Linked DNA regions of Stegostoma tigrinum. The protein of the gene in region 1 interacts with the protein of each later gene in a pairwise test. Links are inferred from orthologs where the notes say so. Each region holds a gene or a part of one and is shown in the gene's direction. Other genes may lie near its edges. The genes, in order: txn2 and rbm45.

Evidence for each region.
Region 2: the proteins of txn2 (region 1) and rbm45 interact in binary tests that used the Homo sapiens proteins (3 or more experiments, as listed by UniProt). The two-hybrid records come from large-scale screens. The link is inferred for Stegostoma tigrinum from reciprocal best matches to the Homo sapiens genes TXN2 and RBM45.

The regions. Positions count from the first base shown.
Region 1 is NC_081391.1:3,477,243-3,493,926, reverse strand, and holds the start of txn2 (thioredoxin, mitochondrial), read left to right. Parts: upstream 1-7,807; 5' UTR 7,808-8,017; exon of another isoform or gene 8,018-8,064; intron 8,065-8,421; exon of another isoform or gene 8,422-8,705; intron 8,706-9,078; exon of another isoform or gene 9,079-9,150; intron 9,151-11,675; coding exon 11,676-11,953; intron 11,954-16,684.
Region 2 is NC_081360.1:44,821,770-44,837,905, reverse strand, and holds the start of rbm45 (RNA-binding protein 45), read left to right. Parts: upstream 1-7,040; 5' UTR 7,041-7,115; coding exon 7,116-7,391; intron 7,392-16,136. UniProt on the Homo sapiens protein: RNA-binding protein with binding specificity for poly(C). May play an important role in neural development.

The DNA.
Region 1 (16,684 bases):
TATTTACTTGGGAGGGGATCTACAGATATTTGCAAGAGCTACTTGTCTTTTAACAGGAACAAATAAGGGTCTGGAGCATAGGTGCTGCCAGCTGCTGTATTTTCAGCAGGAATGGCTGTGAATGTCCAGGAGTTATTGTTCAGAAATCTACATTTCCATCAGTATGTGTTTGCATAGCTGGGGGTGGAGAGCATGTGGGCAGCCCAGAGCAACTAGAGCTGAGAATGTACTGGATGTTGGAGGAAGGGGCCAAATACCACTGAAAGAGCTGGCACAAAGCATGTTCCTGAGAAGCATCCAACACATTGCTAAAACCATCAAGCTCCTCAAGAATGTGTTACCTAGCTCAATTCTAATTGGCACAAGCATGTGAGCCATTCCTGTCTGTGTTGATCCCTTTCATTTTGCCAGAAATTCTTGCCAGTACAAGTCTCCAAAACATCCCACAGGAGGCTCAACCCTACTTTTGGACCTTTCTCTTGGAGATCCCTTCTGTGTCAGCTGAGGGGTTTCCTACACGGATACTCTCTTATGTTCCCTCAACTTCCTTGATCGCATTAGATATCCAGACACAGTATAACATAATGCCTCATTGTCCAGAGGAGACAGATCCTAGATGGAAGCCTCTCTTTCTGGAAATGCTACCATTGTCACATAACAGGTTTGGGATAGAGAGTATTACGTGGGATCCCTGGTTGCCTGTAACTTCCATGGCTTGGAGAAGTCTGTGTTTTAGTTTTACATGGAACATGTGAGCTTGCAGCCCTCACTCACTATTTTATGGGGGTTTCTCTCAATTTCTGATTTCACTAGTAAAGAAATTCATTTCCAGCATTCTGTGAAAATGTAATGATGATGGAACGACTTAGTTCCAAGGGTAGCTGGTTGGCAGAATTCAATTGTGCCCTGCAAAAAGGGAAGTGTTTCTTACAAGTTTTTTGGAAGGTCACTCAGAATAGTTCAGAGGTCACTAAAAGCAGCTCTGGGACACTCTCTAGATGTACCGAAACTGGGTATTCCATGTTCAGAGTGCTGAATAGCTGTCTTACGTAAAGATGTTAAAAGCAGTTGATTAGCTGGGTGGTCAGGGCTGAGAAGAAGTCATGGAGAGCTGAGAGAGTGACAAGATCATTGGGTCAGTGTTGGGGTAAACTATGAGGGCTTGGAAGAAGCCTGCAAGAAGTAGTACTTCAGTGCAGCTAAATGATTGAGGGTTAAATAGCCCTTGAATTACCCCTAACCCCATGCAATCTTACCTTGCCTATTAACCTTTTGTGTGGCTCTTATCAATTGCCTTCTGGATGTCCAGATATATTATATCCATGAGACCCCCATTATCTACTTTTGTCATTATGTCTTTGAAAAACTCTTAGCTAATTAGTCAAACATGCTGACACTGATGGTTTACATTTTGACTTTCCAAATGTCCTGTTATTACTTCTTTAATAATGGATGCTAACAAATTTCCCAAAGACAGACATTAAACTAATTGATCTATAGTTTCTTACAAAAATAGAAACAAAGAACTGTGGATGCTGAAAATTGGAAACAAAGACTTCTGGAATAAGATTTGAGCCTATAACCTTCTGACTCAGAGGTGAGTGTGCTAGCTCTAAATTATGCCTGACATTTAATCCAGCCTTAAAACTACAAGTCTGAACACAGAGATAACGAGGTATAGAGCTGGATGAACACAGCAGGCCAAGCAGCATCATAGGAGCAGGAAGCTAGAAGGGTCTAGGCCCAAAACATCGGCTTTCCTGCTCCTAAAATGCCTACTGTGTTCATCCAATCTACAACTCGTTATCTCAGATTCTCCAACATTTGCAGTTCCTACTAAGTCTGAACACAGGTCCAGTGAGACTGCTAGTCCAGTGACACTATCAAAGGCTATTCTCTCCCCAAAATCTGTCTCAATTTTCTCTCTATCTTCATCAGGTTATCTACTCCAACGGCAGCCTGTCTGTATTCTGAGATTACAAAGTGTGAAGCTCGATGAACACAGCAGGCCAAGCAGCATCTTAGGAGCACAAAAGCTGACGTTTCGAGCCTAGACCCTCTAGCTCTGGTTGCTGTCTGTATTCTGATGTGGGTTCAAAATAACGTACATCAATGGCCAATGGAAGCTTTTCCTGAACTGTCAGAGTTGGATGAGCAACAACTTCACCTTTGATACTATCCAGCAGCAGATAGATAGCAGACATGGCTCAGTTGGTAGCACTCTCTTACCTCTATATCTGAAGATCATGAGATCGCGTTTTACTATAGAAACCTAAATACAAAGTCAAGGCCGGTCCTCATGGAATGCTGAGGGAATGCTATACCATCAGAGGAGCTGTCTCATTTAAACCAAAGCCCTACTTGCCCTCTCAGGTGGATACAAAAAAAATCCCATATCCCCATCTCAAGGACAAATGCCCTGTCCTAACTTCCTGACTCAGAGGCAAGAGTACAACTAAAAAGGTACAGCTGGCATGTTATGCTGCTGCTTGTGGAATTGTGCTGTGCATCAATCAGCTGTAACTTTTCCAACAATACTGCAACATCTACACTTCAATGAAAAAATGTTTAATTGGCTATGTACTGAGGTCATGAAAGGTACTATATAAATACAACTTCCTTGATTTCTCTGCAGTTCTTAGTGCCAGACAACAAAAGCTTTCTGACACATACATCAGCATTCGACATGAGTAAACTTCTTTTTAAGAACAGTAGCTGTTGCTGTCTTAAGCTGTGGGAAGATTTGGTAGGTTAGAAAACTACATGTTATGGTTGGTGTACTGAGAGAAAAAGGCGCAGACTAAAGAGTGAGGCATGGAATGTATGGAAGAGCTACTGAATTCCTAAGGCCAGAAATGTTGCTTGGAACTGACAGGTCTATACAAGACAACTAGACAGAAATCAAATTGATGTATCTGTTCTGAATGCAGTTCTCAGTTAACCTGATTTATAGGATGAACTGCACATAATACAAATGTTTAGAATTAATTTAGTTTACTTATAAATATTTATAAATAAACACATATATTAATCTATTTATATACCTTTATATGATCTTGAGACTTGACCTGGATGAAATCACAGAATTATTATGGCACAGAATAAAGTTTTGGAACAGAGTTCATCTTCTGTACAAGGGCTCTTCAGGCACAGCCCCAGGGCTTCTGTGAGGTGTCCTTCTTCTGGGTACAGCAATAACGACCCTGCCAAGAGTCCACACTTCAAGCATACCCCAACAGAGGTCCCCACTCCAGGCACCGCATCTGCCACAAGTCCCTGCTCCAGGCACTGCTATTGCCGCTAGTGATGACCTGCCAAGTCCACGTATCCAAGCTACACGTCTTCCACGGATAATAAAGTGTGAAACTGGATGAACACAGCAGGCCAAGCTGCATCTCAGGAGCACAAAAGCTGACGTTTCGGGCCTAGACCCTTCATCTGAGATGCTGCTTGGCCTGCTGTGTTCATCCAGCCTGACATTTTATTATCTTCGATTCTCCAGCATTTGCAGTTCCCATTATCTCTGATGCAGGTCTTCCACTGTCTGGTGTCCTTGCTTTAGGCACCGCAACTGCTGCAACCAAAGACCTGCTGAGTCCACGCTCTGGTCCTACTGCAGCCATAAGTCTTCACTCCGGGCACTGCCACCCCGCAGCCAATGACCGGCCTAATCCATGAGTCCACACTCCAAGCCACCCACAGCCAGGATTCCTTGCTCCAAGCACTGCCGCCCCTGCAGCCAATGCCCCACCCACACTGTTCCAGCTTCCCCACGTTGTTAGAAGATGAAAAGAAAAAACGGGAAAGAAAAAGTCCAAAAAGGATGGAGGGAGAGAAGGATGCAAATGGCCTGGAGCGTACGGGATCAGGAGACTGAACACTACCTACTTTGCCGACACCACCGTACCTGAAGACATGTCATTGTATAAATATATAGGCATAGATTGGGGAATATCTGTTTCATGATATGGAACAGAAGAGGGGAGAATCAGCAAACAGATTTGATTGACCTAACAATTTGTGGTTCTGGGTGACTGGGATTCTGCTAGGGGCTGTTTCAGAGTCATTTAATTTTCTCTTGGAATTCTCCTACTGGGGGATCATTTGATTCTCAAGGGCACCTTGCGTACTGACAGGGAATGCAATGTGAAACTGAACCATGGTTAGTACCGCTGCCCAGAACCTGGGTTCAATTCCACCTTTTGGTAACTTTCTGTGTGGAATTTGCACATTCTCCTTGTATTTGCATGGGTTTCCTCTAGGTGCTCCAGTTTCCTCTGACAGTCCAAAGACGTGCAGGTCAGCTGGATTGGCCGTACTAAATTGCCTATCCAGGAATGTGCAGGCTAGGTGGACTAGTCAAAGGAAATACAGAGTTACAGGGATAGAGTCGGGGGGTGTGGATCTGGGTGGTATGCTCTTTGAAATTTCAGTATGGACTCGATAGACTGAATGGCCTGCTTCCAAACTGTAGAGATTCTATGATTGTCTTTAGTACAAACTCCCTATGCATTTGTGGTGAGACACAAACAACATTAGCAAGGGGTGTCCTCAATACAGTCTAGGTAGAAAGACATGGAAGCTAAGGACTCAGGGAAATAAACAGTGATGTCTTGAAAAGATAACAAAGTGTGGGGCTGGATGAACACAGCAGGCCAAGCAGTATCTCAGGAGCACTAAAGCTGACGTTTCAGGCCTAGACCCTTCATCAGGGAGGGGGATGGGGAGAGGGTTCTGAAATAAATAGGGAGAGAGGGGGAGGCGGACCAAAGATGGATAGAGGAGAAGATAGGTGGAGAGGAGAGTATAGGTGGGGAGGTAGGGAGGGGATAGGTCAGTCTGGGGAGGATGGATAGGTCAAGGAGGCAGGATGAGGTTAGTAGGTAGGAGATGGAGATGCGGCTAGAGCTGGGAGGAGGGGATAGGTGAGAGGAAGATCAGGTTAGGGAGGCGGGGACGAGCTGGGCTGGTTTTGGGATGCAATGGGGGGAGGGGACAAGCTGGGCTGGTTTTGGGAAGTCCACATTACAGAAGAAGAAATGCTGGAGACCTTAAAATGCATAAAGGTAGATAAATCCCTGGAACCTGATCAAATGTATCCCAGGAAATTGTTGGAAGCTTGGGAGGAAATTCCAATGCCCTCAGCCGAGATATTTGTATCATCGATGCTCATAGGGGAGGTGCTGGAAGACTGGAGGATGGCAAATGTTGTGCCTTTATTAAAGAAAGGCTGGAAGGAAAAGTCAGGTAACTCAGGCCTGTGAGCCTGATGTCAGCGATAGGTAAGTTGTTGAGGGGATTCTGAGAGATGGGGCCTACATGCATTTGGAAAGGCAAGGACTGATTAGGGATAGTCATCATGGCTTTATGTGTGGGAAGTCGTGACTCATAAATTTGATTGAATTTTTTGAAGAGGTGACCGATAAGAAAGATGAAGGCAGATTTGATTTGATTTGATTCATTATTGTCACATGTACTGAGATACAGTGGAAAATTTGTTTTACGTGCTAACCAGACAAATCATACATCCAGGGGTACAATCAGTATAACAGAACAGAATGCAGAATATAGTGTTACAGCTACAGAGAAGATGCTGAGAAAGATTAATTCTAATATCAGAGAAATCCATTCATAAGTATGATAAGCGCGAGGAATAAGCTGTTCTTAAATTCAGTGACACATGCTTGCAAACTTATCTATCTTCTGCCCAATGGAAGAGGGTGGAAGAGAGTATGACTGGAGTGGGAGAGGTCTTTGATGATGTTGGCTGCTTTCCCGAGACAGAGGGAAATGTAGACTGAGTCAATGGAAGGAAGTCTACACGGTTTTTAGCAAGTCTTCAACAAGGTTCAGCATGGTGGGCTGGTTTGTGAGGGTAAATCACATGTGATCCAGGGAAAGCTAGCCAATTGGAATCAAAATTGGGTTGACGATAGGAGGCAGTTGGTTGTGGTACAGGATTGTTGTTCAGACTGGAGGTCTGTGATCACAGTGTGATGCAAGGATTACTGCTAGGTGATGAATGTTGTTCATCATTTATGTAAATGATTTGGATGAGAATATAGTAGGCATGGTTACAAACTTTGCTGGCATATCACCAGCAAAAATTGGTGGTATAGTGGACGGTGAAGAAGGTTGTTGTGATTCGTTGGCTCAACGAGCTAGTTTGTTGTTCCGCAGATATTTCATTGCCCTCTTGGGTAACATAATCAGTGCAGCCTCTGATGAAGTGCTGTTGTGGTTTCCCACCTGTCATTTAAACTCTGGTATCCGTTGATCTGGGTTACCTCACTTCCGGTTTTCCTTCGCAATGGTGTGTATACAGTGTCTAGCTCTAAATGTTTATTAATGGCTTTCTTAGTGGAGAACCAGGCTTCTAGGAATTCCCGTGCTTGTCTCTGCTTCGCCTGTCCCAGGATCCCGGTGTTGTCCCAATTGAACTGGTGGTATTGAAACAGTTACCCTGCAGGGTAATGAAACGTCTGTGGAATAACGAGCCAGCTTGGCAAGCGAACAAACCACAACATCCACAACCTCAGCCACAAATCTACTCTAAAACCTTAGTGAAGAAGGTTATCTAAGAGTACAACGGGATCTTGATAGACTGGGCCAGTAGACCAAGAGATGGCAGTGGAGTTTAATTGAGATAAATGTCGCATTTTGGTAAGACAAAACAGGGCATGACTTTACGTTTATTGGTAGGGCCCAGGGGAGTGTTGTCAAATAGGGAGACCTAGGGGTGCAGATACATAATTTCTTGAAAGTGGTGTCACAGGTAGACAGGGTGATGAAGAAGACATTTGGCACATTGAGTACAGGAGTTGGGATGTTATGTTACAACTGTACAAGATATTGGTAGGGCCACATTTGGAGTAAAGCGTACAATTCTGGCCACCCTGCTATAGGAAGGCTGTGATTAAACTGGAAAGGGTGCAAAAAGGATTTACTAGGATCTTACCATGACTGGAGGGTTTGAGTTATGACAGCCTGAATAGGCTGGGACTTTTTTCCTCTGGAGTGTAGGAAGCTGAGGGGTGAGGTTATGGAGTTTTATAAAATCATGAAGGGCATAAATAAGGTGAATAACCAAGGTATTTCTCTCAGCGAAGTCCAAAACTAGAGGGCATAGATTCAAGGTGAGAGGGGAAGAATTTAAAAGGATCCCCGAGGGACAACTTATTCATACAGGTGGTGTGTGTGCATGGAATGAGCTGTCAGAAAAGTGGCAGAGGTGAGTACAAGCACTTGGACAGATGCATGGATGGAAAGATTTAGAGGAATATGAGCCAAATGGGACTAGATCAGTTTAGGAAACCTGGTCGACATGGGCATGTTGGGCTAAAGGGTCCGTTTCTGTGCTGTATGACTCTATGTGAGTCACTTTAAAATCAGCAAATGTGTTTAAATAAAGTACTTCAGGTACTGAACATCACAAATAGTACTGGGAAATATTGTACTCAAAATGTTAACTCTATTTCTCTCTCCAGATGGTGACGGACCTGTTGAGTTTCTTCTATTTTTAGACTAAATGAAGATGTTATTAGTTAGCTCTGGGCATTTGTATCTAATGTGTAAAATGACAAGTCATTTCCACCCTATGATTTTGTTTTAGCAGCTTGTAGTTGTTGGGCACATCAATATAATTTGTAACTGTCTAATAAGCCACTCGAAGACACTGCAAAATCAAAGCATCAGCCACAAGGGTCAAAGCAGCAGAGGGCAGTGGGCGGGGTTGGATGACACACCACGTGATACTTAACACCGCCCACGAGATCCTTTACAAAGATGATGGTCACCTCTCTCCTCCCCAATCTCCTTTGTATCTCAGTCGACCTCTGCCCACCTTCCCCCCATTTACAAATCGAAAGGAGCAAACTGTCAGCCCGGTCCATCCCTAAACAAAGGAACTACTTGGATTCTCCAGCATCTGCAGTTCCCATTATCACTGATACATCTGCGCAGTTGCGCCGATTCCAATATCGTGAAGAAACTTGGGAAACAGTTTCCAGGACGTGACGTAAGTTAAACCGGAAGGTACTTTGGCCTCGTGTGGAAGCTGGAGAGGTGAGAGAGAAAACGGAAAAAGAATAAAAATTCGGAGAGGGAAGAGAGCGAGAAAAGTAATAAAAGTCTTATGGTGGGGGCGGGAGAGAGAAGTAAATGGGAGAAGGTGGTATTGTGGTAATGTAATTGTCTAGTGACCTAGAGGTCCAGGTTAATGTTCTGGGGACTCTGGTTAAAATCCTGTCATTGGCAGCAATTGGAATTCAAATTCAGTTTACAAGGTCTGGCATTGAAAGGTGGCCTTTGTAACGGTGGCTATCGTAGATTATGTAACAATCACGGACTGTCATAAAAACCCAATCCATGTCCTTCAGAGAGGGTAAATGAATTGTTAACCTTGCCTGCTTTGACCTGCACGTTTCTCCAGTTCCACAGGAAAATGATTGACTTTTGAATGCCTTGAGGGTAGAGAACATACATAAACCTGGTGTAGTGTGTGCGTGGAGAGAAACTCAAGGAGAGGGACAGATAAGGCCTTTGTTGGTTTGTAGAGAAAGTTAACAATTACCTGTAGATGGACTACTGTGGCAATAATCAGTGTAGGAGTGTTAAATATTGATTTCCAGCCTATTGGATTTGTAACTGTCAGCTGGGATGGTCTTGGAGTGGGAGAAAAATGTTGAATCCAGGATGCATGTGGGGTGAGTCAAATTGCTTCTTGCTCCTTCATTGTAATGCAGTGACCCTCTGTGAATATCTGCTGAAGATGTAATGTGATTGGAATTCCTGTAGCCAATCAGACTGGCTTGCAGTCACTTTGAATAAAGCAAGCTATAAAATAAGGTCTGACGTGGAAATGTGCAGCTACCAGAAAGCAATTTTCAGTGCTATTTGAGAGATCTCAGATACCGAAGCTGCCCACTGCAGTAAGACCAGGACAACATCCAGGATTGGGGCCAAAAAGTGGCAAGGAAACATTTGTACCACACAACTGTCAGGCAGTAACCATTTCCAATAAGAGAAAGTCTAACTTGACATTCAATGCCATTACCAGCACTGCGTCTCCAACTATCAACATCCTGGGGGTTATCATTGAATAGAAACTGAACAGGACTCTCCACATAAACGCAGTCCCTACAAGAGCAGGTCAGAGTAACTCACCACATGACTCCCTGAAGCCTGTCCATTATCTACATAGCACAAGCCAAGAATATGATGGAATATTCCCTGCTTGCCTGGATGAGTGAAGCATGACACCATCCAGGGCAAAACGCTGCTTGATTGCATCATTATTAACAAACATTCAATCACTCTATCACCAATGTTTGTAGCAGCAATGTGTACTGTCTACAAGATGCCCTGCAGAAATTTGCTAAAGATCTTTAGACAGCATCTTCCAAACCCACAACCACTATCACAAGGGCGGAAGATAAATGGGAGCAAGACCACCTTCAAATACCCCTTCAAGCCACTCAGTATCCTGACTTCACTGTCTTTCCCCCTATCCCAACAGCATTGTACCTATAGCATATGGATTGTAGTAGTTCAGGAATGTGGCTCATCAACAGCAACTCAAGGACTGGCAAGTGCCCACGTCCTACAAGTGAATAAATGAAGTGGTTTGTTTCTGGGCGTCTGTGACACTTTGGGCACACAGGCAGGTCCAATTATTTGCCAAACCATGACAAATTGCTTTCTTCCCAATAGGTTGAAAAACTCAGTAGGAGCAAGGTGGCCCATTGAACAAACTCCCTTTATTGAGTTTAGCAAAAAACAAGCTGAATCCTTGATAGAATCATCAGATCCCTACAGTGTGGAAAGATGCTATTCAGCTCATTGAATCCACACCGCCTTTCTGAAGATCATCCAACCTAGGCCTTACCTTTGCCCCATAACCCTCCATTTTCCCATGACTAATCCACCAAGCCCACACATTTCTGGTCACTATAGATAATATAGCAAGGCCAGTCCACCTAACCTGCTTATCTTTGGACTGTGGGGGGAAACAGGAGTACCTAGAGGAAGCTCACTCGGACACAAGGGAGCATGTGCAAACTCCACACAGTCACCTGAGGCTGGAATCAAACCCGGGTTCCTGGTCTGTGAGGTAGCAGTGCTAACCACTGAGCCACCATGCTGCCCCAATCTGTGGCATCATCATTTTTTGGTAGACCAGTGTGTGGTCTGATAATAGGATGTTCAGAGAGTGGCTGCTTACTCTAATCGCTGTATGATGAGCTGTAATGCTAGTCCTCTGCTCTTTGTTCTTTGTGCGTTACAAATTGTTTGTGCCTGACTCCCTTTTAATACAGAAATGAAGATGAAATCTTTTCTGAGGGTTGTTGGAATGCAGCATTCTCTTCACCAGAAGATAGAGGAGACTGGTTTTATTTTTGATTGAAATTTAAAGATCTCGTGGGGGGTGGTGGTGAATGATGTACATCTCATCTGAAGTCCCATGTTCTTATCTCTCTGAACTTAGTCCTGTGCAATTGCTGTAGTATGTCTGTGATATTTAAATGATGATTAGAATTAATCCATGTGATCTGCTTGATTTTTGTTTTCTCCCTCAATGGAATATTCTTGTCCCTGCAAGACAACAGAAGCTTCAAGCTTCAATAGAAATGCCCTGACGTGAATTTGTACAGGCTGTGGAAGCACTGTTCTCTTATGACTGATGTAACTTTCCTGCATTGTAATAAATCCTATTGATTGGCTAAGTCCCTGGTCTGATCTTCTGCTGTTCTAGGTTGCAGAGACATTGATGATTTGCACTCTGCTGGCGTCCTTAGCTGGGATAGTATTAATTCATTTCTAGGGAGCAGCTACATATAAATACAAACTGAGTTAAACCATTCAACCCCTTGAGATGCTACCACTATCGGGTGCCCAGAATATTTCATCCATGTGTGCTGTTCAGAAGAGGCAAACTATTTGCTTTCAGTCACAGTTAAGTCCAGTTCTGTCCTTGCTTAGTCTCCACGTATAGACACTGGTTGCCACTCACTGATTGTCTCCAAACTGGGGCAATGCTAATATGGCTTACTGGGTGGTGTTCATAGCCAGAGGCTCTGGTTTCAAGCCCAACTTTGGGAATAGTTGACCATAGAAGGAACATTCATGACTTGGTTCATTGGGCTTATAGTCAGACTAGTAATTCTTCCAACACATCCCCACTATTATCAAAACAAATGTGTGAAGGTACAACACAAGCCTGTGAATATACTGCATTCTACTGGAACACTACCACCTGCAAGTCCTACCCAAGTCTCACGCCATTCTGATTTTGAACTTTATCACCGTTCCCTCACATCTTCCCAGCAAATGGAGTGATGTACTAAGCACCACATGGATTGCATTTTCAAGCATGCAGCTTTTAACTCCTGGTCTAACCAGCACTGCCCGCACCCTATGAAATAAAAAACAAGATCTAATTTGAGACACAATTTGCCACCAAGCAGGTATATTATCTGTGAATGTCACTGGTCAGGATGGAACATTGCTTGTTGCATGGATTGATACCGTTTATTCAACAGTTGTGTAATGCTGTCATTCTGATCAATTGAAAAATTGACTGGACCTTATTTAAAGTGAGGTAACTGGAGGCTGTTGCTGTAGTTCAACATTTAAAATTGTCTGCAGGTTCTGACACTAACAGGCTGCTTTTACAGATGGCTCAAAGGCTCTTGCTGAGGAGACTCATCTGCCCAAACCTGAGGAAATCCTGTGGCTCAGTGTGCTCTCCACCCTCAGCTTTGTTGCCCAGCCTGAACACACTCTCCTGGCATAGCCACAAGCCTTCCTTCATACATCAAGCAGGTTCACCTTTCTCCAGAGGGTTTTGTGATTCTCCAGCCTGTAGTGACACTTTCAATGTACAGAACAAGACAGATTTCACTGACCGAGTTCTGAACAACAAAAAACTGGTTCTGGTGGATTTCCACGCAAGGTGAGTTGACTTTGTTCCATTTCTTGATGGGTTTATGCACCTTCATCACTACATTTTGGGCAATGCTTGACAATGTGGTCATTGCCTAAGTGCAGTGGTCTGCCCAGAGGTAATGTGCTGGTGGGCTTAACCGAGCAGACCAATGTTAGTGAGAGTTGAGGGTGACTTCAGTTTTGTGAAGAGAAACCGTTGGTCCTTTACTGCTGTCATAAAAACCTTGAAAGATTTTAAACTTTTGTTAAATTTTTTCATATCCACCTCTGCTGTAAGGAGGACATCAGCTTTTTTAGTTCTCCAAAGAACAAAGAAAATTACATCACAAGAACAGGCCCTTTGGCCCTCCAAGCCTGCACCAACATCCTGTCGCAACTAAAACCCCCTACCCACCCTTCCGTGGACCGTGTCCCTCTATTCGCATCCTATTCATGTAAAACTTGCCTCATATATCACCTTTAAACCTTGCCCCTCACACCTAAACCTATGCCCCCTAGTAACTGACTCTTCCACCCTGGGATAAAGCTTCTGACTGTCCACTCTGTTCATGCCCTTCACAATTTTGTAGACCCCTATCAGGTCACCCCTCAACCTCCGTCATTCCAGTGAGAACAACTCAAGTCTGTCCAACCCTTCCTCATAGCTAGTGCCCTTCATACCTGGCAACATCCTGGTAAATCTTTTCTGTACCCTCTCTGAAACCACCACATACTTTTACTAGTGTGGTGACCAGAATTGAACACAGTAGTCCAAATATGGCCTAACTGAAGTTCTATAAAGCTTCAACATTACCTGCCAATTTTTAAACTCGATGCCTTGTCCGATGAAGGCAAGCATACCGTATGCCTTGTCGACTACCTTCTCTACCTGCGTTGCCACTTTCAGTGACCTGGGTACCTGTACACCCATATCCCCTCTGCCTATCAGTACTTTTAAGGGTTCTGCCCTTTACTGTATATTTTCCAACTGGATTAGACCTTCCAAAATGCATTACCTCACAATTTCTGAATTAAACTCTTATCTGTCATCTCTCTGCCCGAGTCACCAACCGATTTATATCCTGCTATATCTTCTGATGGTCCTCATCACTATCTGCAATTCCACCAACCTTTGTCATCTGCACATTTACTAATCAACACAACTGAAGATCCTCATAAGCCCCTTTTGCACCATTCTAAGAACTGAGGATCGTTCAGAGACTTGTAAAATGAACTAAATTTTCCAAGACTTTTTTTACTGAGAATCAGGGATTGGAGAAGTTATACAGCCAAACAAAATAGAAGCACACCTTTCAGTTCAACCAGTCCATGCTGAACATAATCCCAAGCTAAACTAATCCCACCTGCCTGTTCCTGGCCCAAATCCCTCCCAACCTTTACTATTCATGTACTTACACAGGGCTCTATGCCTCTTTAAGTGAGGGAAGCAAAACAAGGCAATGTCTCAGCCAGCAGTCCACCCCCTTAAAAGCAGCCAGTCAGAGCAAGATTGATCCCAGGAGCGAGAAAGACAGGATCAATGAGGAACTGCTGCTGAGCATGGCTCTGGGCTAGATTGCTGTCAGCTGAGGTTGGTGGGGTGGGGTGAAAAGAGGAGATGCTGTAAGAGAGGGACAAATGATGCACTTCTCAAGGGAGTCAAAGAAGGAGCTGCAAGGTGGGCGGTAAAGAAGGAAGCTCCAAAAGGGTGGTTGGAGAAGAAAGCTGCAAAGAACAATGGAATACTCAATTATGTGTGAACCAGGAAAAGTTGAAATCATTGAGGTAATGAATTAATTGAAAATAAATGTGAAATCTCTAGCTTATGGCTGTGTAAGAACAGGAGACAAATGTAAAGGATGCTGTTATAGTCAACATGTCAATTGTTAAAATTTGAATTGTGAATGAGAGGTAGGATATTGTTAAGCTAGACAGGGTTCAGAAGAAATTTACCAGGATGTTGCTGGGAATAGAAAGTTTGAATTATAATGAGAGGCTGGATAGGCTGGGCCTTTTTTTCACCAGTGTAGGAGGTTGAAGAGTGGTTCGAGTGAAGTTAACTTTTAGAGGAAGCGGTGGATGCAAATACAATTAAAACATTGAAAAGACATTTGGATCAGTACATGAATAAGAGGTGTTTGGAGGGATATGGGCCAAGTGCAGGCAGATGGGACTAGTTCAGTTTGGGATTATGGTCGGTATGGACTGGTTGGACCGAAGGGCCTGTTTCTGTGCTATATGACTGTATGGCTCCAGGGATGGAGGCTTGCAAAAAATTTGAGGTTGCATTCCTTGGATCTAAGAAGCTTTGATGAAGATGTATAATGTTATGAAGGGTTTACATTGAATAAATAGAAACTGGTTTCAAAAGCTAAAGGATTGATGATAAAATGAAGCAGGTTTAATTTTATTTTAAGTTGATTGGCAAAAGAATCAGAGGCAACATGAGAAAAATGTTTATACAAACAATAGTTGTGATTTGGAATGCACTTCATTCCTGAAATTGTGGCAGATACAGATTTGAATGTGGTTAAAAGAAAATTGATGAGAGACTTGTGGGTTCAAATCTCACATCAAAAACTTAAACATTAGAAAGTGGTATTGAAGGAAATCTGCCCATTTCAGGGGCAGTCTTTGAAATCAGTTGTAAAACTAAGACCAATATTTATCCTCAACCAAGATCATTCAGTTAGTGTATCTGGTCATTAGCAACCACCCAAATACAAGTGTGATAATGTGCAAAATTACAGGGTTAATACCTCAGCAGTACTTAATTGACCATAACACTCCTTGGAGTATGCTGAGGGCAGGAAAAGCACAAGGTAAATACAAGTTTTTTTTTGATGTGGGCTCAGAAAGCAGTGGCAGGGCAGGTGAATCGTAGAATCCCTATTGTGTGGAAACATGCCATTTAGCTCAACAAGTCCACACTGATGATCCTCTGATGAGCAGCTCACCCTAACCCTGCACCTCCCATAGCTAATCCAAGTAGCCTATACATCCCTGGACACTACGGGCAATTTAGCAGGGTCAATTTGCCTAACTTGCACATCTCTGGACTGTGGGAAGAAACTGGAGCACCCAGAGGAATGTGCAGACTTCATACAAACAGTTGCCTGAGGTTGGAATTGAGGCCAGGTCCCTGGCGCTGTGAGGCAGCAGTGCTAACTACTGAGCCACCGTGGCTTCCCCAAAAATGACACTTTGGAATTGGATTGAGCAACACCTGCTAGGTAAATGGTGTCCCTTTTCTACTTGTTCCTGTTTTTTTGTGACTCACTTGACAGGAGCAGGGAGCTTTGTCTGAGACAGGGCAGCACAGTGGTTCACTGGTTAGCACTGCAGCCTCACAGCACCAGGGTCCTGGCTTCAATTCCAGCCTCGAGTAACTGTCTGTGTGGCGTTTACACATTCTCCCCGTGTCTGCGTGGGTTTCTGCCGGGTGCTCTGGTTTCATCCCACAGTCCAAAAATGTGCAAGCTAGGTGGATCGGCCATGCTAAATTGCCCGTAGTATTCAGGGGTGTGTGGATTATAGGGGGATGGATCTGAATGGGATGCTCCAAGGGGCGATGTGGACTTGTTGGGCCGAACGGCCTGTTTCCACACTGTAGGGAATCTAATCTAATTTAAAAAACACTGTTATCTGTGCACACAAAGCAAATGCTCTTCTAAAGTAGTAGATTGGTCATGAATTTCCATGTCTTATTTTCCACACCTGTTGTACACAGATTGAGGTGAGTGCTCATTTGTGCTGAGTTTAGTTTTTTTTTAATGTTTTGGGTTTGTACCTCTGAGGCAGAAAGCATGTCTGAACTAATCTGCTTTCCTGCAGCGCAGAAAGAGAGAAGGAGAAAGAGTCCTTTCAGCTGTAAAAGCTGGAATTTGATCCCTGGTCCTCCCCGGGCTATGCTTTCAAAAACTGTTTCTTCCAGGTAATGGCTATGCTGCTCCCAGATTTAACTGAATTTTAACCCTATATGGCATCACCTGAAAACTGTTAACCATGTTGAAAGTCAAACCAAGAACTGCAGAGCCATAGCTAAGGGGCTAAGAAAAGTCTAAATTTTTTCGGAAGTGTAGTAGTCACTGGTAATGTTGGTATTTATTGCCTATCAGTAATTCCCCTTCAAAGAGTGGCTGCGAATTGTTCCAACATAGTGTGCTGTTCAGTGGGGAGACCCAGGTTTCAACCCAATATCAATTCAAGCAATATATTTCTAAGGTGCTGTGAGAATTGGAGAAGAAATTGTAGATGCCAACTGTAATCCTTTGAGACCCAATACCCCTTCGTTCGTAAATGTCCTTGGTTGACTCTTAAACTGATTGTTTTTTCCCACCTGAATCCAGTGAATGCCAACAGATAATTTGACTTTGAGTCTCCCAACCAATCCTGAACTTGGTCTTGGCTTTTCACGCACTATACAAATAGGATATGATATTTTAGAACTGTGAGGTATTATGTAAATGGAATGTTTTATGAAAATTATAGCACTGGTCCCCACTTATTTCCTGTACTCTTTTCCCTGGTGAACTCTCCTTTGTACTCTATTACTCTTTGTGTACCTGTAACACTGAAGAAGTTCTTAACCGCTCAGCATTCCTTTTTACCTTGACAGCTGTTTGTGCTTTCAAAACCAAGCTTGGAAGTATACTAAGTGCAATACTTGGCACTGCACTTCAGTTCCACTCTGGCTTCCTTTCAATGTCATTGTCATAATTAACCTTCTCAATTTTTTGTCCAACTTTCTCCAAAAGAA
Region 2 (16,136 bases), on another chromosome or scaffold:
CTCAACCAGTCATTAAAACATAAGGGTAGGTGAGAGGCGAGATATTCTGTGGTGAGCAACTTACATCTTGCCTCATCAAAATATGCCCACCATTTGAAAGCTGCAAGTCAGAGGTGTGATGAAATACACAGCACATATTTGAAGCGTGCAGCTTCAACGACACTCAAGAACTTCAACACCATCCCAGACAAAATAGCCTGCTTGATTGACACTAGCACACCATCTTCCCTCATTTCCTCCTCCACCAAAGCATAGTAGTAGCATTGTATATTAACTACAAAATGCAATATATCACCTCACCAAGGCTCGACTCTACCATTTAGAAGGACAAGGGTAACAGATGAATGGAAGCAACACCACAGGAAACTTCATGTTTGCTCCAAAACAAACACAGTCCTGACCTCGAAATGCATTGTTGTTCCTTCATTGTTGCTAGGTCAAAATTCTGGAATTTTCATCCTAACCAGTGGGTGTCTGTGAGCACATGGACTCCATCGGTTCATGAAGGCAGTTTACCACTTCTCGAGGGCAGTCAGCAGTGGCCAGTAAATGCTGACTTAGCTAGCAACAGCCATTTACTGTAAAGGAACTCATAAAAATAGCCTTCCAACCCAAAGATGGCTTGTTTACTCCTAATTGCAAATTTAGCATTTTTGATCTCCCTTCCTGTATACACCTTTCCACCAATTTTTGAATTCTTCAATTCTTGCCTTTCACCCAGGAGGCAACTTCTATCCGCTGCTTTCTCTTTACTTCATTGTTCCACACAACTCCTCCTCTTCCAGCTTTCCTGTCATCATTTCACTGTTGTCTTGCTTTATCATTTGTGTTTTGGATACCTTCGACCCCATCAAGCCATTCACCACCTCGCAACCATTACATTCTCAGGGATATGTTTCCATCTTTAAACCCTCAGGTCTGACAGCCACAGGCTCAAGTGTATCCAAGCACATAACCAGTTGCTCCAACCACTGTCAAATGGACCACACTGAGCATACCCCATTTACTAGTCCATGATAAATCCTTTTTCTCCATCAGCTTCTCTGGAGGGTAAGGAAAATCAACAGCGTTTCAGAAAATTACTTCTACTCCATTGTTCACTTTGACTTCTGACCACACCAGAAACTGCGCACCTTTCGCATCCATGACCAGCCCCAAGTCCCAGCTCACACCACCCACCTGACAGCTTTCTTAACCTGGATCAGGCTGCGCGCTTTCACAGGGTAGCGAATTTCCGATTTCACGTCAATTCCCTGAGACATCCATCTCGAAACCTGTTGCTCGCTGCCAGCCATAAGTTATCCACATTGTCTCCAAAACTCTTATCCATAGCCCCGACGATGTTAACTACCCCTCCAGCGGACACTCACCCGATGGCGTCCACGACTTCTACCCGCCCCTGGGGTACGCACGGGGCCCTGTATGGAGGACAGTAGCGGTGAATGGGCTAAGGAGAGGATGGGGGTGGGCTGTTTAGCAGGCACTTACCCCTCGGGACGCCTTCACTTCGCTCTCCACCAGCCGAAGGCGGGCTGTAACCGTCAACAGTCTCGCGATCGACACGCGGCAGGTTGTGCGCAAGCGCGTGCACGTGCTGGACTACAACGTCACAGCACTTGCCCTTCATTCATCTCTTCGTTCATTCATCGAACAGGCTTCAGAAACCGGAAGCTTGCACTGTTATCAGAGCGGCAAGGACTTGTGAGCAAACACGTACACTTGAGGGAGTACCTGAATGCAGAGGGGTAGCGGTCAGGCTTAGCGACGGAATTCTGGGTCCAGTGATCCTTTTCAGAATTAATTGTAGCTAGGAAAAGGCGGGATAGAGGGAATTGGCGGTGCAGATTGCGCACAACTAAATAGGCACAGATTTTGTGCTCAGCAGCGAAGTAAACATGCTCACCCGATGACCTCAAAGGAAGACTTACCGAGCGATCTGATGTGAATATATGTGAAATTGCCCAATTTGGGTGAACAGAAAATCCTCCCTATTTTCACCTCTCCCGATGAGCACCTCGTTTTGGCATGATTTAGCAGGGCTTCCAAGAACAAAGTTGCAGTTGTGTCATTAAAGCTGTGCAATCAGCCAGTCGTACTAAATAATTCTCACTGACAGCCAGCGAGGATATGAAAAGCATTCATAATCGAAGCATGTTCAAGGTTACTAGAGAGAAATAAAAATCGGAATAAACATAGTGACAGAGCGGAAAAGTTTTTTTTAAACGTCAATTTTTCGAAACATGTAGTTTGGTAAATTCAGTAACGCATCATAATGGAGTCTTTTACATTATGTATTTTAAGAAAAATCTGTTGTTCAGTAGTTACTATCAGTTAGAACACCGTTAAGAAACAGATGTTATTGAATAACGCTTATTTGAATACAGTGATATTAGAGGACAAAAGCAGCAGTTAAAGTCATTTCACAGAGTTCTCTGACTCGTGTTGTGGGGCTTGAGTGTGCACAGCACAGCCTGTGGCACAACAGTTAATGATATTTCTCAACTTCGGTGTTAATCTGTACTTGTTAATATTGAAGCTATTTTTAATTTCAAATGGAATAATGATGTCAAACACTCATGGTTTCCTATCAAAATTACCAAAGTGTCAATTAGTCCCACTACCCTGCTCTTTCTCCATTTCCCAAAATTATTATTCTTTTTCACATATTTATCAAGTAGCTTTGTACGTTACTATTGGACTTGATTCCACAAGCATCACAGTCAATATATTCCAGGTCATGCCACCAGCTTTGTAATTATTTTCTCATATCATCTTGGGCTCTTTTGTCAAGTACCTAAATACATATTCTTTGATTGCTGGTCATTCCACATGTTGATTTTGGTGGTGGGCTTTGCTGACACCACTGCTTTCTTGTGTCAGCCTTGATTAAATTCATGGCAGCACGGCTCATGCACAATCCTCCCATGCTTAAGTGTGCAATTAATGCTGTCATCCTTCCCCTCCAGCGACTCACCCAAGGGCAGAAAAAAACTCAAGGATGTTAAACATCAGCTTCTGTAAACAAGCTGGTTTCCCTGAATTGACCTGCATTTGCCCTATGATAGTTTCCCTCCCTCTGAGCCAGGAGGCATGGGTTGAAGACCCACCTGCTCCAGATGTGTATGATACCATCCCTGAATAGGCTGATTAAAAACACCTAAATGCTTTCCCATTGCCAAGGTGTAATTGGTTGAGCTTACATTTCCCTCTTTTGAGCAAGGACATAACGTCTGCAATTCTTGCATCTTCTGATATCACCCCTGAGTGTAAAGATGATTGGAAAATTAAGTCTAGTGCCTTCAGAGTTTCCATTCTCACTTGAGTATTTTTGGATGTATGACATCTGACCTGCTGCGTGGTAAAGTTTAAATACACACAGCCTATCCAGTATGTTCTTAGAATCATAGACTTGCTACAGCATGGAAACAGCTAATCAGCCCAACAAGTCCACACTGACTCTCTGAAGAGCATCCCACCCAGACTCACACCCCCATCCTATCCTAGTGACCCTGCATTTCCCATGGCTATTTCACCCAACACACACATCCCTGGACACTATGGGCAATTTAAATTAGCCAATTCACCTAACTTGCAAATCTTTGGAAAGTGGGAAGAAACTGGAGCACTCAAAGGAAGTCCATGCAGACAGTTACCTGAGGCTGGAACTGAACCCAGGTGCCTATATACAGTGAGGCAGCAGTGTAACCATTGAGCCACCATGCCACCGCTTCTTATCAATTTTAAAATCTTTAAGTGTATAAGCTATCTTGTCTTAACCCATGATATACAATGTCTTCTTCCTTGTTGAAGACAAAGACAGCATCTTCTTCCTTGTGCACAGCAAAGTCCCACAAAAATCAATGCGATAATTGCCAGAAAATCCTGTTTTTGTGACTGAAGATAAATATTGGCCACAATATCTCGAATAATTCACAAAATATTTTTCAGAGTAGTAACATAAGATATTTTATATTCACCTATGAGAACAGACAAAGCTTTGGTTTATTCTCTCATCCAAGGGCAACATCTCACATAGTCCAGTAATTACTCTCTGGTACTGGACTGGAGTGTCAGTCTTGAATTCTGTACTCATGTCCTGGAGTGACATTTGAACCAAATACATTCTGAATCAGATACATAAATGTTAAGAACAGAGATAAGGCTGGAACAAAAACACATGTTGCTGGAAAAGCTCAGCAGGTCTGGCAGTATCTGTGAAAAAAAAATAAGAGTTAATGTTTCGGGTCTTGTCACCCTTTCTCAGAACGCTTTTGGTTTTTACAAGGCTGGAACAAAGATTTTAAAGAGTTAGCTTGAATTTGGTAAGGTACGTCTAAGGAACCTAAAGGATTTTTTTGGGAAGTAACTACTGTATTTGGCAGGGGGATATCTAGTGGCTATAATTTTTCACATGACTGACTAATTGGTATGTGTGAAATGTTTGACAGAAAGATCTAAAAACAACAGATGTTGGTCATTAAGTTACATCCATGAGCTCTCAGTTCGAAATCATGTTCAAACTGGTGATTTTTTTCTGATGTTTACATTGGAAAATTTGTTCAACGTTGCTGTAAGTCACGTGGAAGTAAGCAAAAGACTATTACTGACATTACTAGTAGATCTCACCTCTTCTAAGTTCTTAACTGAGCTATACTCCCTAAAAGTTTCCAGACAGCACTTCAAAAGTTGTTTCAGAAGGTTTTGTACTCATTCATCAATTATTCACTATAAATGGCATAGATAACACACTACAGGGCCATACGTGTAAGTTTACCAACAACACAGAATAGCGGCATAATTTGTAATGTAGAATATAGCATTACAAAGCAATGATGAGGATATTGTAAAACATTGGCAGATAGATTTAAACACAGATAGGAGAGAAGTAATCTTTTTTGAATGAGAAGGAACATATTTAAGTACTTATGTGTCATTAATAACATGAAAAAATGAAGGTTTAAGTAAATTGAAGGGACAAGAGGTGACTAACATTTGCCATAGCTGTACAAAGCCCTTTTTGGCACAGTGTGTATAACTCTGTAGAGTACACCTTAAAAAGGACATATTAACATTCTAGACTGTAGTACAGAGCACCAAGATATTCCTAGATTATGACAAGGGACTAAGTTTGTATTCTTTTGTTCTTCTTAGGCAGTCCCTCGGGATCAAGGAAGACTTTCTTGAACTCCAGCGTTATCAGTCCTAATAAAATAGTCTAGTGCTAGATCCACAAATCCTACTGCAGATGGAGTACGTGGTGTTTGCTGAAGCAGATGGGTGTGATTCACAGATTTTTGCATGCTTTTTGCATTTGACCTCTATCTGGGCTTGTTGGAAATATGTGAAATGGTTGGCAACCTCCTCCAGTTTGGACAGTCTTGGATTAGAGTTTCCCATGCATTTATTGGGGATATTGGGATGGCACAGTGGTTAACACTGCCAGGGACACAGTACCAGGCTCGGATGACTGTCTGTCTGGAGTTTGCACATTCTCCATGTGTCTGCATGGATTTCTGCTGGGTGCTGCTGTTTCCCAAAGTACAAACATTTGCAGGTTAGCTGGATTTGCCATACTAAATTGCCACATAGTGTGTCCAGGGTCACCCAGCCATGGTAAAAATGGTATTACAGGGAATAGGATGCTGTTTGGAGAGTTGTTCCAGAAGGCTTTGAGGACACTTTTGAAGCATTTCGTCTGTCCTGTTGGTAACCACTTTGTATAATGATGCCTAGAAAGCTTCTTTTGGTTGTTGTGTGTCAGGCATTCAGCCAATGTAGTCTGCCCTACACAACTGATTGATTGTAACCAGTGGTTTGATACTGTGCATATTGGCCTGAGAGATGACATTGATATAGGAACACTTATGGTGAACATGATTGAACATTTTAGGATTTTTAAAGGGATAAGATCACTGCTAAGGGAATCTCTTATCATGTATCCTTATCTGCGAGCAAAAATTTTCAAGAAAGAAAACAGGAAACACTTCTTTATGCAATGGAGAAAGCAGTCAATATTAGTTCAATTAATAATTTTAAATTTTAGGTCGAGAGCTGATGGCGTTAAGAGAAATGAAATCTTGTTGAGTGAATACAGATCAATCATTGTTTCATTCAATCATAGACTAGAAAAACTGATTGGCTTCTGACTATTCCTACAGCCCTCCCTTAACGATTTCTTTCGCAGTAGTGAAAACCATTTTTATCATCATAACTATTCATTTTTCATATCCATACTAATCTTCTGTACTGCATATCCTTTTCATTGGTTCCAATCTGTTAGCGTACAAGTATACAGGTGACTAGAGTTAGCAATTTTAAATAGGCAACAAAAAGGGTGAAGATTTATAGATATTAAAGGAGACAAGTTATAGCTGTGATAATGTGATAAATAATAGATTCTCGATTAAAAAGCACTGTTTTCATGTGTGGCAAGGTTGTATCATAAATGCACAGACTATTTTTTCTGAATTCTCTATTGGTCCAATTCACAGTGCTGGCTGCAACACCTCCGACCCCCCCCCCCCCCCAAAAAAGAGCTGGAAGAGAGACTGAATCCTGTACTGTTGACACCAATCTGAGCAATATTCGCTGTCCAGCCAACAATTCCCACCTTGATCCCCAGCTACTGTCGCCAACACACTTTTTTATTAGGTGCTTATTTTAAGCGTGGAAGCTTTAAATATTGAGTGATGCTAAAGGCTGAAATTTCTTTTCGTATGTTTACAATCTCCGTTCCTTGATTTATACTTGAACAGGTAACGATAAAAAAGGTCTCCTTGCTCCACCATTCGATATTAGATCAGTGCAGCTCAGAAACAAGATGCGACGGCCTATTTCTCAGCTTCACAGAGTGCGATGGGTCCAGTTCCTCAGCATCACGGAATGGGGCGGGCCCAATTCCTTGGAGTCACTCTGCGGCATGGGCTACTTCCTCCGCATCACAAAGCGAGGCGGGACCAGATCCGGTATGTCACCAATGGGACGGGGCCGGTTATTTCGTGTCCCCGTCGGGGGCGGACCGGAACTTAAAAGCGGAGTTAGGCGGAACCTGTTCTTTTGTGTCACGTGACGTGCTGGCGGTTGGTGGTCGCAGTGTATGCGCTGGATTCGCGATCATGGAGGATAGTGGAAGCTCGCGTCCAATGGCAAACCTCGATCACCCGCCTAACAGTCGGCTCTTTCTGGTCATCAGCAAATCGACATCGGAGGAGGTGATCCGAGAAAACTTTTCTTTCTTCGGTGAGATCCAGGACATTTGGGTTGTGCGGGACAAACAGAACAAAGATCACAAGGGCATCGCGTACGTAAAGTTCGCCAAATCGTCGCAGGCCTGTAGAGCGATGGAGGAGATGCACGGCAAGGCCTTGACGGAAGACACCAAACCCATCAAGGTATGTTACAACTGCCACCTTCGTTTCTGCTAAATGCGGAGCTCGCTTTCGACTCTGACCGCACCTGATCATGGGCCCGAGTTAATGAGGTGGGAACCCCCGTGAGACTGTAGCATGTTAATCTGGTTACTAATAGCCTTCTGATCCTTGTTTGTAAGATCTTAAGATTTTATGTTGCAGCCAAAACCAGTTGGACTTAAATTGTTGTAGTCTTGAAAAGTCTTAGACCACAGTTTCGATTCCATTATTTTAGCAAAATCGAAATTATATTTTGAGTAGAGAGAGAGAGAGAGAGAGAGAGAAAAGGCGAGGGATTCATTAACGGTAACAAAGTCTAGAGCTGGATGAACACAGCAGGCCAAGCAGCATCTCGGCACAAAAACTGACGTTTCGGGCTTAGACACTTCATTAGAGAGGGGGATGGGGTGAGGGTTCTGGAATAAATAGGGAGAGATGGGGAGGCGGACCGAAGATGGAGAGAAAAGAAGATAGGTGGGGAGGTAGGGAGGGGATAGGTCAGTCCAGGGAAGACGGACAGGTCAAGGAGGTGGGATGAGGTTAGTAGGTAGGAGATAGAGGTGCAGCTTGGGGTGGGAGGAAGGGATGGGTGAGAGGAAGAACAGGTTAGGGAGGCAGAGACAGGCTGGGTTGGTTTTGGGATGCAGTGGGGGGAGGGGAAGAGCTGGGCTGGTTGTGTGGTGCAGTGGGGGGAGGGGACGAACTGGGCTGGTTTTGGGATGCGGTGGGGGAAGGGGAGATTTGTTTATCTTGGATTCTCCATGCAGTTCCCATTATTTCAGATTCATTAATGGTACATGGCCGAATATGAACCCTGATCGTCCTGAGGAAATGGAAATACCTGATTTAGATAAGCGAGGGTGAATATTTAGAGCATAAGAACTAGGAGCAGAAATAGGCCATCTGGCCCCTCGAGTCTGCCCTGCCATTTAATAAGATCATAGCTGATTTTTTGAGACTCAGCTCCACTTACCTGCCCATTCACCATAACCCTTAATTCCTCTACTGTTCAAAAATTTATCTAACCTTGCCTTAAAAACATTCAGTGAGGTAGCTTCAACCGCTTCACTGGGCAGGGAATTCCACAGATTCATAACCCTTTGGGTGAAGAAGTTCCTCCTGACCTCAGTCCTACATCTGCTTCCCTTTGCTTTGAGGCAATGCCCTCTAGTCCCAATTTCACCTGGCAGAAACAACCTCCCTGCCTCCACTTTATCTTATACCCTTCATAATCTTATATGTTCCTATAAGATCTCCCCTCATTCTCCTGAATTCCAAAACTGCACACAGTGCTCCAGAGGTGTAGCCTCACCAGGACCTTATACAACTGCAGCATTGCCTCCCTATTTTTAAACTCCATCCCTGTAGCAATGGCAGATGAAATTCCATTTGCCTTTTTAATTGTATCAGAGATAATAGTGTGCAGTTTTGGTCTCCTTACTTGAGAAGAGATATACTAGCACTGGAGCAGGTGCAGAGGAGATTCACTTGGTAGATTCCAGAATTGAGAAGGTTGGGTTATGAGGAGAGACAGAGTAGACTGGGATTATACTCATTGGAATTCAGAAGAATGAGGGGAGGTCTTATAGAAACATCTGAGATTTTGAAGGGAATGGGTAAGGTGGAGGCAGGAAGGTTGTTTCCGCATGCAGGTGAGACTAGGACTAGAGAGCATTGCCTCAAAATAAAGGGCAGCAGATGGAGGACTGAGGCCAGGAGGAACTTCTTCACTCAAAGGGTTGTGAATCTGGAATTCCCTGTCCAATGAAGCAGTTGAAGCTACCTCGCTAAATGTTTTTCAGGCAAGGCTAGATAAATTTTTGAACTGTAAAGGAATTGAGGTTTATGGTGAGTGGGCAGGTAAGTGGAGCTGAGTCTCAAAAAAAAATCAGCCATGATCTTAAGTGGATGTTGCTTGGCCTGCTGTGTTAATCCAGCTCTATTTCGTGTTACCTTGCCTTTTTATTACCTGCAGCACCTGCAATCCTACTTTTAGCGATTCATGCACAAGGACACCCCAGTTCCTCTGCGCAGCAGCCTGCTGCAATTTTTTACCATTTAAAACATAGTCCATTTTGCTGTTATTCGTACCAAAATGGATTTCAAACATTTGAAGGTGCAGACCTGTGAAAAGTAACTGTTTATTTCATTACATTAAGTGACGGAAATACTTAGCTGGCCCAGAAAATTTATCTGTGGAACAAGAAAAAAATAACTTGAGTTGAATATAACTTTGCCCAACTAAAGGCGGGTAGAAATAGCATGTCAGCCACCACTCCTTGCCATGGGACCTTGGCAGTTTTCCAACGTTAACATGATCAATGAGTAGTAGAGGGTTTGGGAAGTTTTGCTTTACACTTTTTCTGAACTCAACATTGTGTCTAACAAAAAAAAAGGACCTTGGAAATCTGAAACAAAAACAAATTGCTGGAGAAACTCAGGTCTGGCAGCATCTATGGAGAGAAAGCAGAATTAATGTTTTGAGTTTAGTGACCCTTCTTCTGAACTCGTTCCAGTCAAGGGTTACTGGACTTGAAACACTAATTCTGCTTTCTCTCTACAGATGCTGCCAGACTTGCTGAATTTCTCCAGCAAATTATGCTTTTGATCAAGTCCAGCAATTATAGACTCTGAACTTTGTCCCTCATTTTCATTGTTTTCCTGTGATTCCCTTGCTTGAACACTTTGAATTATTTCTTTGTTTCCTGTTTTTTTTTAACTTGTGGGCTTATCTTCAAGTTTTGCCAGCTTCCTTGTCATACTTCTGTAATTGGATTTAAGTCTGAAATTCTTTGTTGAGACTGGAATTGGTCACTTACAAACTTTGTGTGGAATCTGGTTTGACTGCAGTCCCTTTTATCCAGGCAAGTGGAGACAGGTTCTGAGTGGACCAAAACTTGGCAGTCAGAGTATAATATAGGAAAACGTATAAAGTTTTTTAAAATTTCGGCAGGAAGAATAAACAGCACAATATTGCTTAAATGAAGAACAACTGTGTAACTCCAAGGTGCACAGGGATTTAGGTGTTCTGGTCCATGAGTCACAAGAAGTTAGAACATAGGTACGGCATATAATCAAGGGTAGCGTGAAGCTAACCTTTTATTATGAAAGGAAATGAATAAAAAACTAAGTGTTATGCCTTAGTTGCACAGCATAGTGATGAGACTGCATCTCAAATGCAGTGTGCATTTTTGGCCTCTTACTTGAGGAAGGGTGGAAATGCATTGAAATTGGATCTGGCGAGGTTTGAGGCTGAAGTGCGTTGCGTTATGAAAATAGGTTGGACAGATTTGTCGTCTTTACACTTGAGTTTAACAGAGTGAGGGGTAACTTGAAGTATGTGAGTTCTTGAATAGTCTTGATAAAGCGGACATGGGTAAATTGTTTCCTCTTCTGGATTAGCCCAGAACCAAGGAGCACTGTTTTAAGGGTCACCCTTTCAAGACAGATGAGAATTTTTTTTAAAAAAGAGTTGTGTGACTTTGGAACTCTGTGCTGGAAGTGGAGTAATTTAACGTTAGACTATAAAAATCAAATGTTAGGGTAGATGGAAATATGAAATTTAAAACACAACTATGGTTTTATTGAAAGGCGGAGTATGCCCATTGGGCTGAATAGTCTACTTCTGCTCGTTTTCCGTTTGTTCATGTAAACAAAGCAAAAGCTAATCCTGTCTCAAAGTTCAAAACTAAATATGGAATAGCTTAATCCCCAATTGTTTCCGCAACACATTATTCTAGGAAAATACAGAAAAGCATGAGCCATCTTCCATAATACCTATGCCAATTTTATTTGCCAAACTATATGAAGCTGAAAGTCTACTCACCAGTTAATACATTGAATTATTGTTTGTTCTCTGTCCAAATATATGATTACATTGAGGGGAATTATTAGTTATTCCTGTTGACATTTTCTGCTTCATTATGCTAATTTACCTGATTCTGCAGAGATAAAGCCCACTTCTTCTGAGTAGGTGCCTCAAGGCTCAATAAGGAGGCTCATAATCTGAAGTCCTCTCTTCTGCTTCATACGTAAAGCCATCTTCCTAGGGAGAAGCCACTTCAGTTTGCCACCTTTTAACTTCCTAGCTGCAGAAAATCTGATTGTTAGTAATGCCCTTTACCTTGGCTCTATTCTGGCACCACACATTGGCAGGCTTGCATAAATATCTATCTGAACCCCATCTGTGGAATTTCCTATAATGGTTGCTTTTCTTGGCCTTTGTTCCCTTTATGCAGTCCATTGCCTTTTGGTGCCTTGATCCAGTCTATATTTTTTTCATGATGTTGAGTCTCATCAAAACCCCATGCTGTTTAGCAGATTGAGGTACACCTTGAATTCCTGCATTTCTTCATGCAAGTCTGCATTACCACCCATCTACCCTCTACCTTCCAGCCTGTTGGGGTGGCATCTTCATGGAACATGATGATCTAGTCTCGCCAGGCTCCAGAATCTCCTGGCCTCAGCTTTGCTCAAAATAAGGTGCTAAGATCTGAGAAATGGAACAAGCTCTCACTTCCATCCAGGTTGTTATGATGGGAGGAAGTTATATATTTCATGCTGTATTACTCTATTGTACTTAAATTCTCTTGTGCATATGAAGATATAGGCAGTCTCAGATTTTTAACTGGGCTGTTTGGAAAAGGCATTGAGGGTGTCACAAATTTAATTCCAGATGTGGAATCCATAGGTACAAGTTGTTGTTTTAGCAACAGCTGAATATGTCTCTGTCAAAAAAAGTAAATAACGTACTGCAATAACAAAACAAGTGTTTCATTACAGTTTTTGGTATTGAACTAAAGAATTTTGAGGCTGTTTGGCTCGCCAAGCTGGTTTGTTGTTGAACAACAAACCATCTCGACAAGCCAACCAACCTCAACACCCACTACTCGAGCCACAGATCTACTCCAAAACCTTAGGAATGACTGAGTCATACGGTAAAGAAGAGGCCTTTCAGTCCATCATGTCTATACTGCCAAAATTACTAACTGCACTAGTCCCACTTTCCCACACTAGGCCCTTTAGCAGTTTAAGACAAGGTCAGCGCTTGGAATATCACAAATTTTACAGTACAGAAGGAAGCCATTCAGCCCATCAAATCTGTGCCACTTCTCAAAATCTGTCACTCATTGGTTGCATTCTCCTACTGTTTCCCCATTATCTTGCAAATTGTTTATTTTCAAAAAACCATCTAATTCCCTTTTTAAATGCTTTGATTAAATGTCTCCTCCAGACTTTCTGACTGTGCATTCCTGATCATAATCACTCAATTGTTTTATTACTGATATTAACTTTTTTCTAATAATTACTTGAAATCTGTGCTTTCTCATTCTTAATTCTTTAACATGGGAACATTTTCTCCCTGTATGCTGTCAAAACATCTCTGCTGAAAATCAAGTGATTCCTGAGGCTTTTTCTGCTTTAAAAATATAGGTTGTTTGGAAAAGAATTAAAAGGGAGAACAATTCGTAATTCAAAAATACTCTAATTTTATAGAGAAACATTGTAACAGATGTGTGATCATCGCCCCATCACCACATGAGCTGTTCAGAAAAAGAAATAAACCAACTTAGTACAAATAAAACTTTAAAAATGAGTCTTCCAGCTTTTTTCCACAGAGCTTTCAAATTTATTGCAGTCTGCACTTAGTAAAGGAAATTGTTTTATCGGTACAGCTAATAGAGTGCCATTCCAGTCCTCATTTATAAAACCCCACGTTGTGTTTTGATTATCAATCTGCTTATTGTTTTAAAGTTCTAGATTTAAAAGGCACAGCCTGTGCTTTACAATCTATGGTATTTTAAACAAACTTATTTTTAAATGATAAAACAAAGAACTACAGATGCTGGAATTGTGAACCAAAAGCAGAAATTGCTGGAGAAACTCAGCTGATCTGGCAGAATTTACAGGAAGAAAGCAAAGTTCATGTTTTGAGTCCAATGATCAATAAGTTCTAATGAGTGCTTCTTGAAGTTATCTTGCCACCAGCTTCTCAAGAGCAGATGAATAAATAAAACAAAACATAGATTTTGGGCAGTGTTCTTCCATTGGAAATCTCGATTTCAGTTTAACCATATTCATTAAAATATTCTTTGTTAAAATCTTGCCATTTCTGCATTTTCCATGTGCTATGTTGAAATAGGTGCTCCAAGGACTGGAAGAAATAATAAAAAGAGCAGCTTATATAGAGTTTTATTTTGCAAAAGTCACACACAATTGTTACTTTAAAAAAAATCATTCAGCGATATGAGTATTGCTGACAAGATTGACATTTTATTGCCCATTCAAACCTTCAGTGAGAAGGTGATGATGAGCAGCCTCCTTGAACTGCTACAATACTTAGCACTGTGGGTGCCCCACACCCTCAAGAAGAGATTTCTAGGATCTTGATGCAACAATGTTGGAGGAAAAGCAATGTAGCTCCGAGTCAGGATTGTGAGATACTTGGAAAGAAAGTGCACAGGAACATCACCTGCAAGCTATCGTCCTTTCCCTTCCAACTGGTAGAAATCATGGGTGTGGAAGGCGCTGTTGAAGCAGCCTTGATGAGTTGCTGCAGTGCATCTCATAGATGTTACACACTGCTGTGTGTCAGTTGTGAAGGGAATAAATATTGAATGTTGTGGATAGAGTGCCAACCAAGTAAGCTGCTTTACCCTGATGGTGTTAAGTTTAAGTATTGTTAGAGCATCAACCATCCAGGCAAGTAGAGAGCATTCTTTTACAATCCTCATTTGTGCCTTGTAGAAGCTGGACAGGAATTTGAGAAATAAGGGATGCGTTACCCTGTGCAGAATTCCTGGCCTCTGACCAGCGTTGTAGTCACTGTGTTTAATTGGCTGGTCCAGCTGAGTTTGTGGTCAGTTGTAACACCACATGCACGCACACGCAGGATATTCACAATAGGGAATTCAGTGGCAATGCCACTGAATGTCAGGGTGGTTGAATTCTCTCTTGTTGTATGTAGCCATTGCCTAGCGTTTGTGCGACACAAAGGGTTGAAAGAAATGTAGAAGGGCTTTAAGTGGTTGGGGATTTATTAGTGAGGGGAGGAGACATGTGCTTCCCCAGAATGGTACGTTGCCCCCTGGGTACCAGGGTCAAGAATGTCATGGGATGGCTGCAGGGGAGCGTTTTGGAGACAGTGACCATAACTCTGTTAGATTTAGGACAATTATATTTTTAAAAAATGGGGCCAGGAATAAAAATTCTCATCTAGAGAAGGCTAATTTTACTAAATTAAGATAATTTGTCCAAGTGGACTGGAAGCAATGACTTGCAGATAGAACTGTCAGAGCATTGCGAAGAGTTGAAGGAAAAATAAATAGAGTAAGTACAGGGCAAATATCTTCCTGAAGAGATGTGATCGGACAAAGGTTCGAGAACACTCAATGTCAAACATCTTTAAGGTTATAATGAAGGGGAAAAAAGGGCTAATGACAGACATCAAGGGCTTCATACAGCTGTAGCTGTGTATAAAAAGTGCAGTAGGGAAATGGGAAGCATTGGCAGGTATAATAAAGGAAAGCTCAAATGTTTCTTTATAATGATAACAAGCAAGTGAATAATTGAGTCAGGCCCATTAGGAGCCTTAAATTATGATGCGTGTGTGTGGATGCAGTAATTAAGCACAGTTTTCAATTAATGCAGTCTTCACAATAAAAAAGGACAATGCATTTTTGGACATCAAGGTGGAGAATGGAGAAATATTACAAGAAATTAACATACAGAAGGTACTTGCAGGTTTAGCAACCTTTAAAAATAGATAGATCTGCAGGGCCAGATGTGATGTAACCCAAGCTATTAAGGTAACGGAAGAGACAGGAATCTCGGTGATAATTTTTAAATCCTCTGTGCTTGTAGATGAGGTGCCAGCGAACAGGAGGACTGGTGATAATGTCCCATTATTTAAAAAAAAAAATGGGAGGATGGTGAGACCAGTCAAAGACATTAATGGTAGGAAAGTTATTAGACAGATTAATTGGAGGTAGTCAGCATGGATTTGTTAAGGGACACTCGTGTTTTAATAGATTTGATTAAATCTTTTGAGGAGCCAACAACCAGGAGAATTGATAGATTAATGCATTTGACGTTGTCTACGTGTATGTCAGCAAGGCTTTTGGTAAGGTCCTGCGTGATAGATTGATATGTATGACATGCCCAAGAAGGAGTTTTTGGCAACCAGGGAAAAGTGGCATATTGGACCCCAGACTGCCCGAGAGGAAGAGTATTGAGGGTAATAGTAGAGGGATGGTTCTGTGACTGGAAGTCTGTTTCCAGTGGGGTTCTGCAAGGCCGGGTGATGGGGCCCATGTTTGTGCTGTACATTAATAATTTGGACTTCAGTCTCTTGATCATAACTTCCAGATTTGTGGATGGTGCGATAGTTGGTAGGGTGCTAAACAGTAAGGAGGATGGTTGTGAACGGCAAGAGGAAATCGACAGACTGTACTGCTGGCAGAGCAGTGGCAAATGGATTTCAACCTGGAAAATTGAGGGAAGGCAAAGGATTACACAATGATTGGTAGTACCCTGGAAAGCACTGATGATCAGAAGAACCTCTGTGTCCACAGGTCCTTGAATGTAACAAGATGGGTAGATAAGGTGGTTAAGAAGACCTGTCGGGTATCTGTCTTTATTAGCTGAGACGTAGAAAGTTGGGGAGCTTATGCTGGAACTGGTTAAAATTCTGGTTAGATCACAGGTGGCATACTGATTGCAGTCCTG